2 linked regions of the Oryzias latipes genome follow. The protein of the gene in region 1 binds, or shares a complex with, the protein of each later gene. Links are inferred from orthologs where the notes say so. Each region holds a gene or a part of one and is shown on either strand. Other genes may lie near its edges.

Region 1 (3,749 bases):
GCCAAGCATCTAACCTACGAGAACGTGGAGCGCTGGCTGAAGGAGCTGAGGGACCACGCCGACAGCAACATTGTCATCATGCTGGTGGGCAACAAGAGCGACCTGCGCCACCTGAGGGCCGTTCCTACAGACGAGGCGCGGGCGTTTGCTGGTCAGAGTCCTTCTGTTGGTTCTTTCTTACAGCATGTCACTCTCTGTCCAAAGCTGTAGGTTTCATGGTGACGGAGGTCCATGTGACGGATCAGAGACTTGTACGATAAGTCCAGAAACGTCTTTCGGTTTTAGTTTTGGACTGTATTCAGATGGAGCTTTCCTTCTGATGATAGTCGTCATTCCATCCACAGAAGGTTTGGATTTACCTGCAGATGCTTCTAGAAATGATGTGGGGCATTCAATATAAAGTCACGGCCTCCGTCATCGACCTTGTCCCCAATGCACAGAGATTTCTCTGAACCTTTTGGTGAGAATGGGCTCTGTGGAGGATTGGATTTACGGTTTGACGTGAAGGAACATTGACTCTAAAAAACGTGACAGAGTGGAGAAATTCTCTCCATCTAAACCAGCCTCTGCTTCTACAAACCTACATCTTTGGATCTAAATGACTTCCTCTGTGTTCTTCCAGCTGAATCTTATCTAGTCATTTCTGATTTAGAACTCTTCCTCTGATTCATTCTTAGTCCACTTTTGTCATGAATCAGTGAAAGCAGTAAATACCCGTTTTACCCCAGTGCATTATATCTTGGTTCATAGTGCCTGTGATGTCCATCTGTGGGTTAAATATTTGTTTTCTCTCTATCAACGTTAAAGAGATGCAAACTTTTCCAGAATTCAGGTTGGAGTAAAGCGACTTCCTGTCCTTTTGTGATCCACAGAGAAAAATGGTTTGTCTTTTCTGGAGACCTCCGCTCTGGACTCCACCAACGTGGAGACGGCCTTCCAGACCATCCTGACAGGTTGGTGTGTTTACATCCATCTTCTCTTTGTTCTGCCTGAGGAGGGGGGGCGTGAGCTTCTGGATTGGCTGGAGGACAGACTGCTGATCTCAGGCTTTATTTAGGAGTGAATGGGATCATCCATGGAATATACAGCCTTACTGTGTCCTAAACACTGGAGCGTGCTGTCAGACAGAGGTTCATGTTCAGCAGCAGTAATGTGTGGGAAGGAACTATAGTTACTAAGCACTAAATTGCCCGTATTACCTGTGCATAAACCGCCACCACCGCGAGCCCCCCCCCCCCCGGCATCGCTTCGGGGCGCGGCCCACTATTTGAGAAGCACTGGGTTAATGTAACAGAGTCTCTGTAACTGTGTTTTCATGATTTCCCAATCACAGAGTTCCATTCATTTCTAATCATGTGAATAAACACAAAGCGACTGACGCCATCAGTCCTTCAGAAACACGGCGAGGGATGTGACGGATACTTTGATTTATAGCAGATAAATTCACATCTCTGCCACGGCGCTAGCGCTCATCATCATCTATCAAAGGAGACGTCGGCGTCTTCTTTCCTTAAATGTGGGAGGGGCTACAGATGAAGCCATTCTGGGAAATGGTGGTTGGTGATTTTCCAGAGGAGCTGTGGATCCAACAATTCCACATGACACACTCAACTATTGATGATGTGTGACGCTGTGGGACCTCTGATGGCGCCGCTGTACGGCGCCCAAAGGAGCCAGTGTATCTGGTGGTGGGTCATGTGACGCATGTAATTAGAAAAAAAGTCTTTCCGTTGCAGTTTTACCAATCATGTTTATTTCGTTACACCTTAAAAATCACCTCCTCCAATCGCACAAACTTTGTTTTTGATAAATGAGTTTTGTTGTTTTTGAACTGGCGTGAAGTTATTCTCCAATTTTCCTAATTTCCTTGTCGATGGAAACAGCTAATGGGATTTTTTTTTTCATGCTCTCTCTCACTTGAGCTTGACCTATGACCTATGACACAGGCCTCCCTCATCTTTCTAAGTGGGAGAACAAGTGATTAAAGGGACTTTTCCTGCCCCATTGGACATAAAATCTAAAATTTTGAAATGTTTTGTTTTCTCTGATCTTTCAAAGAGACATATTTCTGAGAATGGCATTTGAGCAAACTGATCATTTCTTTGTCAAAGGTAGAAATTGGGTGGGAAAGAAATGGTCTTTGCAGTGTCAGAGTTCTGTCCTGAAGCAGAAACGGAAGGACCTTCATGATTTGTGGGTCATAATGACCCAATCTTCTGTAGGTGACATTGAGACGACATTAAAATAAAGAATGACAGGTACCACATTTCCATGTCATGGTATCAACTGATCTGGCCTGATGGAGTCTGAACTTCAACATGAAGGCAGAGCGTAGACGGGGTTTTTATGACCTGTGCAGGTGTTGGTAGAAGCTGCTGCTCCTTTCAATGGGTGACATGTGATGTGGGACCTGACTGTGTGTGTTTCCCATCAGAGATTTACCGCATCGTCTCCCAGAAGCAGATGTCGGAGCGCCAGGAGAGCGACATGTCGCCTAGCAACAATGTAGTGAACATCCAGGTGCCGCCCACCGAGAACAAACCAAAGATGCAGTGCTGTCAGAACATCTAACCGGGCCTGGAACCGCTGCCACTCCTCCCCCCTCTTCTCCTTTTCCGTCCGTTCAGCCAAGCCCCCCCCCCACCCTGAGAACTGACTGCCCGGACGCACAGCTCGGCATGACAGGACCCGAACTTTGAGCCCCACCTGCCCCTCCTACCCTTCTCCCCTTCCCACGTATAAAGCAAAGTGTGGGGTCCCCCCCCCCCGAGGGACAGCTGGCGTTTCATACCGTGTTAGTCTGTGTAGGTGCGCTGACATGTCACACAAATGTCTTAAACTCTGAATGTGATTCCTTTCCTGCTTCATCGTTTCTGTCTGCTCTGTACAAAGCCCACGCCATCGTGTCCTTTAGCCCCCCTCCCTCCAGCGTCCAGACAGACTGATGGGAGCCTGTGCGTCTTAGCTGTGACCATGTGACCACTCTGCACTCGGCTCCATCTCCCGAGGAGAGCAGTTTTTTTGTCCACAGAGCGATGTTATGCGGCGGCGGACAGAAACCCCGCCCCTCAGCCGTCCATCTTTGTTCAAACACATTTCCATTTGTTTGAGAAGGCGTCCAGGTAAAGCCACAGACATGTTTGAATCCACGTCATTCCCATCATCAAGCAGCCACAGAGCTTTTCGTAGAAGCACTGAGAAATGTGTCACAGGGTCGATTCCCTTAGCGTGTGGTCATTAGGTCTCTGCTGCCCTGGAACTGTTTTAACATCGCTGAAGAATCAAACAACTTTCAGAGGCGGTTCCTTCCTCTGTTCTGCCATCTTTGGACCTTTCATATAGCCACGCTCACCTTGGCCTAAGCTCCGCCCTCGTCAAATAGCGCCTTCGCACACCGAGCTGCCTCTGACGCAGTGCATGGCTCTCTGTCCGACTGCTGCTTTCCTCATCTGGCCTTTACATCGCCACCACTGACGCAGAACCCGGTCCGGGGGGGATTCCGGTCTCACGGGCGCGGTTGGATGCGGTGTGTTGGATCAGAGACGGCGTCTCTTGAGGGAAGAGCCCGCCCACTCTGCAGCGGGGGGCGGTAGAGGAGGAATTCGGATCTTTTGTCTCCTTATGTTATGTTTGAAACTGTCTTTGATTTTTTTGTTTTTTACAAACTGAATTGTGTAATTGACTGTAATTCCACTGAAACATGAATGAATGAATCGTTCTTCTGGTGAGCTTGGCGGGCGGGTTTGGTG
Region 2 (3,649 bases), on another chromosome or scaffold:
AACGTGGCTCCATCAGGTGAGTCAGTCGTGTCACCTGAGACTTGCCTGACAATGTTTTTCTGTGGCGCTTTTGTAGAGATGAGCGAAACCAATCGATCATTGTGAGCGGAGAATCCGGCGCCGGTAAGACGGTGTCTGCCAAGTATGCCATGAGGTTCTTCGCCACTGTGGGCGGCTCCTCCACCGACACCAGTGTGGAGGAGAAGGTTCTGGCCTCCAGCCCCATCATGGAGGTGAGGACGCCAGCTCCACCTGCAGGTGGCTGCTTTTGGAAAAACGCCATAAATGTCTCCGTTCCTGACCTTTTTCCCATCAGGCCATTGGAAACGCCAAAACCACGCGGAACGACAACAGCAGCCGCTTTGGGAAGTACATCCAGATCGGCTTCAGCAGACACTACCACATCATCGGTGCCAACATGAGGACTTACCTGCTGGAGAAGTCTCGCGTTGTCTTCCAGGTGAGTCTGTGGCCTGGTTTGTGAGGGGATAACTGCTGATCCCGCAGGGATCCGGGACGGATCCTGAAGGGATCCAGGAGGGATCTCTGCTGAACTCTGTCTTTGGTGTTGCAGGCAGAGGAGGAGAGGAACTATCACATCTTCTACCAGCTCTGTGCCTCGGCCAGTTTGCCGGAGTTCCAAGACCTCGGCCTCAGTGAGTCCTACAGCTGTGGAGATCTCTGCTCTGCTTGTCGGAGGTCCTGACAGAGGTCAGAGGTCAGGCAGAGACAGGATGAGGAGGAAGATGAGAAATAGATTAAGCTCCAAGCCTGTCCTAATACAGAAGCTAAGGTCATACATCGTTGACAGGAACGGTATTGCATCATCTGACCTTCTATTGTCACCCCCACCCCCACCCCCCAGCCAGCGCAGAGGATTTCACCTACACCTCTCTAGGAGAGAACATCTTCATCGAAGGCGTGAACGACGCCGAAGACTTCTGCAAGACCAGAGAGGCCTTCACACTACTAGGTAAGAACAGAGCGTGCACAGCAGGGGGCGCTGTTGCTCACATGTTGGCACTTGTAGGCCACAACAAACAAACGTGGGTCCAAAGAAAAACCAGTAAAAGTCAGAATGTTCAGTCAATCTCCAGACCGTTCAAAGAAAGAAGCCAGAGATCATTGAAGGGAAGTGATCACATGTTGATCTCCATGTTGGATCACTTAAGGAAGCTAAATGGTTTTTTCCTTGTCATTTTTCTATGAATGTTTCTTCTGATGATGAAGCTTCATTAAAGGAATCATTCGTGTCATAAACACTGACTCCGCCCTCTGACCCGCATTTGGTTCCTGCGCTGTGACCTCACGGCTTCATTTACGTTCATACCACCTTAAATCAGATCCAAACGATTTCAATGTAAACTCCATTCTGTCTGAACAGAACTGGTAGGAGTTCGACTGATCCTCAGATGTCAGCCTGTGGGTCTGCAGAGACCCGGGTTGCGGGTTTGGGATGAGACCTGGTTTTCTCGTTCCTGTGGGTCTGCAGAGACCCGGGTTGCGGGTTTGGGATGAGACCTGGTTTTCTCGTTCCTGTGGGTCTGCAGAGACCCGGGTTGCGGGTTTGGGATGAGACCTGGTTTTCTCGTTCCTGTGGGTCTGCAGAGACCCGGGTTGCGGGTTTGGGATGAGACCTGGTTTTTTCTTTCTTGTGGGTCTGTGGAGACCCGGTTTGCGGGTTTGGGATGAGACCCGGTTTTCTCTTTCTTGTGGGTCTGCAGAGACCCGGGTTGCGGGTTTTGGATGAGACCCGGTTTTCTCTTTCTTGTGGGTCTGTGGAGACCCGGTTTGCGGGTTTGGGATGAGACCCGGTTTTCTCTTTCTTGTGGGTCTGCAGAGACCCGGGTTGTGTGTTTTGGATGAGACCCGGTTTTTTCTTGGGTCTGCAGAGACCCGGGTTGCGGGTTTTGGTTGAAACCTGGTTTTCTCGTTCCTGTGGGTCTGCAGAGACCCGGGTTGCGGGTTTGGGATGAGACCTGGTTTTTTCGTTCCTGTGGGTCTGCAGAGACCCGGGTTGCGGGTTTGGGATAAGACCCGTTTTTTTCTTGGGTCTGCAGAGACCCGGGTTGCGGGTTTGGGATGAGACCTGGTTTTCTCGTTCCTGTGGGTCTGCAGAGACCCGGGTTGCGGGTTTGGGATGAGACCTGGTTTTCTCGTTCCTGTGGGTCTGCAGAGACCCGGGTTGCGGGTTTGGGATGAGACCTGGTTTTCTCGTTCCTGTGGGTCTGCAGAGACCCGGGTTGTGTGTTTTGGATGAGACCTGGTTTTCTCGTTCCTGTGGGTCTGCAGAGACCCGGGTTGCGGGTTTGGGATGAGACCTGGTTTTTTCGTTCCTGTGGGTCTGCAGAGACCCGGGTTGCGGGTTTGGGATGAGACCCGTTTTTTTCTTGGGTCTGCAGAGACCCGGGTTGCGGGTTTGGGATGAGACCTGGTTTTCTCGTTCCTGTGGGTCTGCAGAGACCCGGGTTGCGGGTTTGGGATGAAACCTGGTTTTCTCGTTCCTGTGGGTCTGCAGAGACCCGGGTTGCGGGTTTGGGATGAGACCTGGTTTTTTCGTTCCTGTGGGTCTGCAGAGACCCGGGTTGCGGGTTTGGGATGAGACCCGTTTTTTTCTTGGATCTGCAGAGACCCGGGTTGCGGGTTTGGGATGAGACCTGGTTTTCTCGTTCCTGTGGGTCTGCAGAGACCCGGGTTGCGGGTTTGGGATGAAACCTGGTTTTCTCGTTCCTGTGGGTCTGCAGAGACCCGGGTTGCGGGTTTGGGATGAGACCTGGTTTTCTCGTTCCTGTGGGTCTGCAGAGACCCGGGTTGTGTGTTTTGGATGAGACCTGGTTTTCTCTTTCCTGTGGGTCTGCAGAGACCCGGGTTGCGGGTTTGGGATGAGACCTGGTTTTCTCGTTCCTGTGGGTCTGCAGAGACCCGGGTTGCGGGTTTGGGATTAGACCTGGTTTTCTCGTTCCTGTGGGTCTGCAGAGACCCGGGTTGCGGGTTTGGGATGAGACCCGTTTTTTTCTTGGGTCTGCACAGACCCGGGTTGCGGGTTTTGGATGAGACCCGGTTTTCTCTTTCTTGTGGGTCTGCAGAGACCCGGGTTGTGTGTTTTGGATGAGACCCGGTTTTTTCTTGGGTCTGCAGAGACCCGGGTTGCGGGTTTTGGATGAGACCCGGTTTTCTCGTTCCTGTGGGTCTGCAGAGACCCGGGTTGCGGGTTTGGGATGAGACCTGGTTTTCTCGTTCCTGTGGGTCTGCAGAGACCCGGGTTGCGGGTTTGGGATGAGACCTGGTTTTCTCGTTCCTGTGGGTCTGCAGAGACCCGGGTTGCAGGTTTGGGATGAGACCTGGTTTTCTCGTTCCTGTGGGTCTGCAGAGACCCGGGTTGTGTGTTTTGGATGTGACCCGTTTTTTTCTTGGGTCTGCAGAGACCCGGGTTGCGGGTTTGGGATGAGACCTGGTTTTCTCGTTCCTGTGGGTCTGCAGAAACCCGGGTTGTGTGTTTTGGATGAGACCCGTTTTTTTCTTGGGTCTGCAGAGACCTGGGTTGCGGGTTTTGGATGAGACCCGGTTTTCTCGTTCCTGTGGGTCTGCAGAGACCCGGGTTGCGGGTTTTGGATGAGACCCGGTTTTCTCGTTCCTGTGGGTGTGCAGA

The links.
Region 2: the proteins of rab11a (region 1) and myo5b are in contact, whole or in part, in a crystal structure (PDB 4LX0), measured with the Homo sapiens proteins. The link is inferred for Oryzias latipes from reciprocal best matches to the Homo sapiens genes RAB11A and MYO5B. Residues at the interface, in NP_004654.1 of Homo sapiens: Leu11, Lys13, Arg33, Glu35, Ile44, Gly45, Val46, Glu47, Phe48, Ala49, Thr50, Gln63, Trp65, Glu71, Arg72, Tyr73, Arg74, Ala75, Ile76, Thr77, Ala79, Tyr80, Arg82, Gly83; in NP_001073936.1 of Homo sapiens: Ile1627, Gln1628, Gly1629, Leu1630, Trp1706, Met1710, Arg1713, Tyr1714, Ser1717, Gln1718, Glu1721, Arg1724, Gln1745, Leu1747, Gln1748, Leu1749, Lys1750, Lys1751, Glu1755, Ala1759, Leu1763, Tyr1779, Glu1786.

The regions. Positions count from the first base shown.
Region 1 is NC_019861.2:442,644-446,392, forward strand, and holds part of rab11a (ras-related protein Rab-11A), read left to right. Parts: coding exon 1-151; intron 152-872; coding exon 873-953; intron 954-2,434; coding exon 2,435-2,571; 3' UTR 2,572-3,749. UniProt on the Homo sapiens protein: The small GTPases Rab are key regulators of intracellular membrane trafficking, from the formation of transport vesicles to their fusion with membranes.
Region 2 is NC_019870.2:384,169-387,817, reverse strand, and holds part of myo5b (unconventional myosin-Vb), read left to right. Parts: intron 1-76; coding exon 77-233; intron 234-316; coding exon 317-460; intron 461-574; coding exon 575-656; intron 657-865; coding exon 866-973; intron 974-3,649. UniProt on the Homo sapiens protein: May be involved in vesicular trafficking via its association with the CART complex. The CART complex is necessary for efficient transferrin receptor recycling but not for EGFR degradation.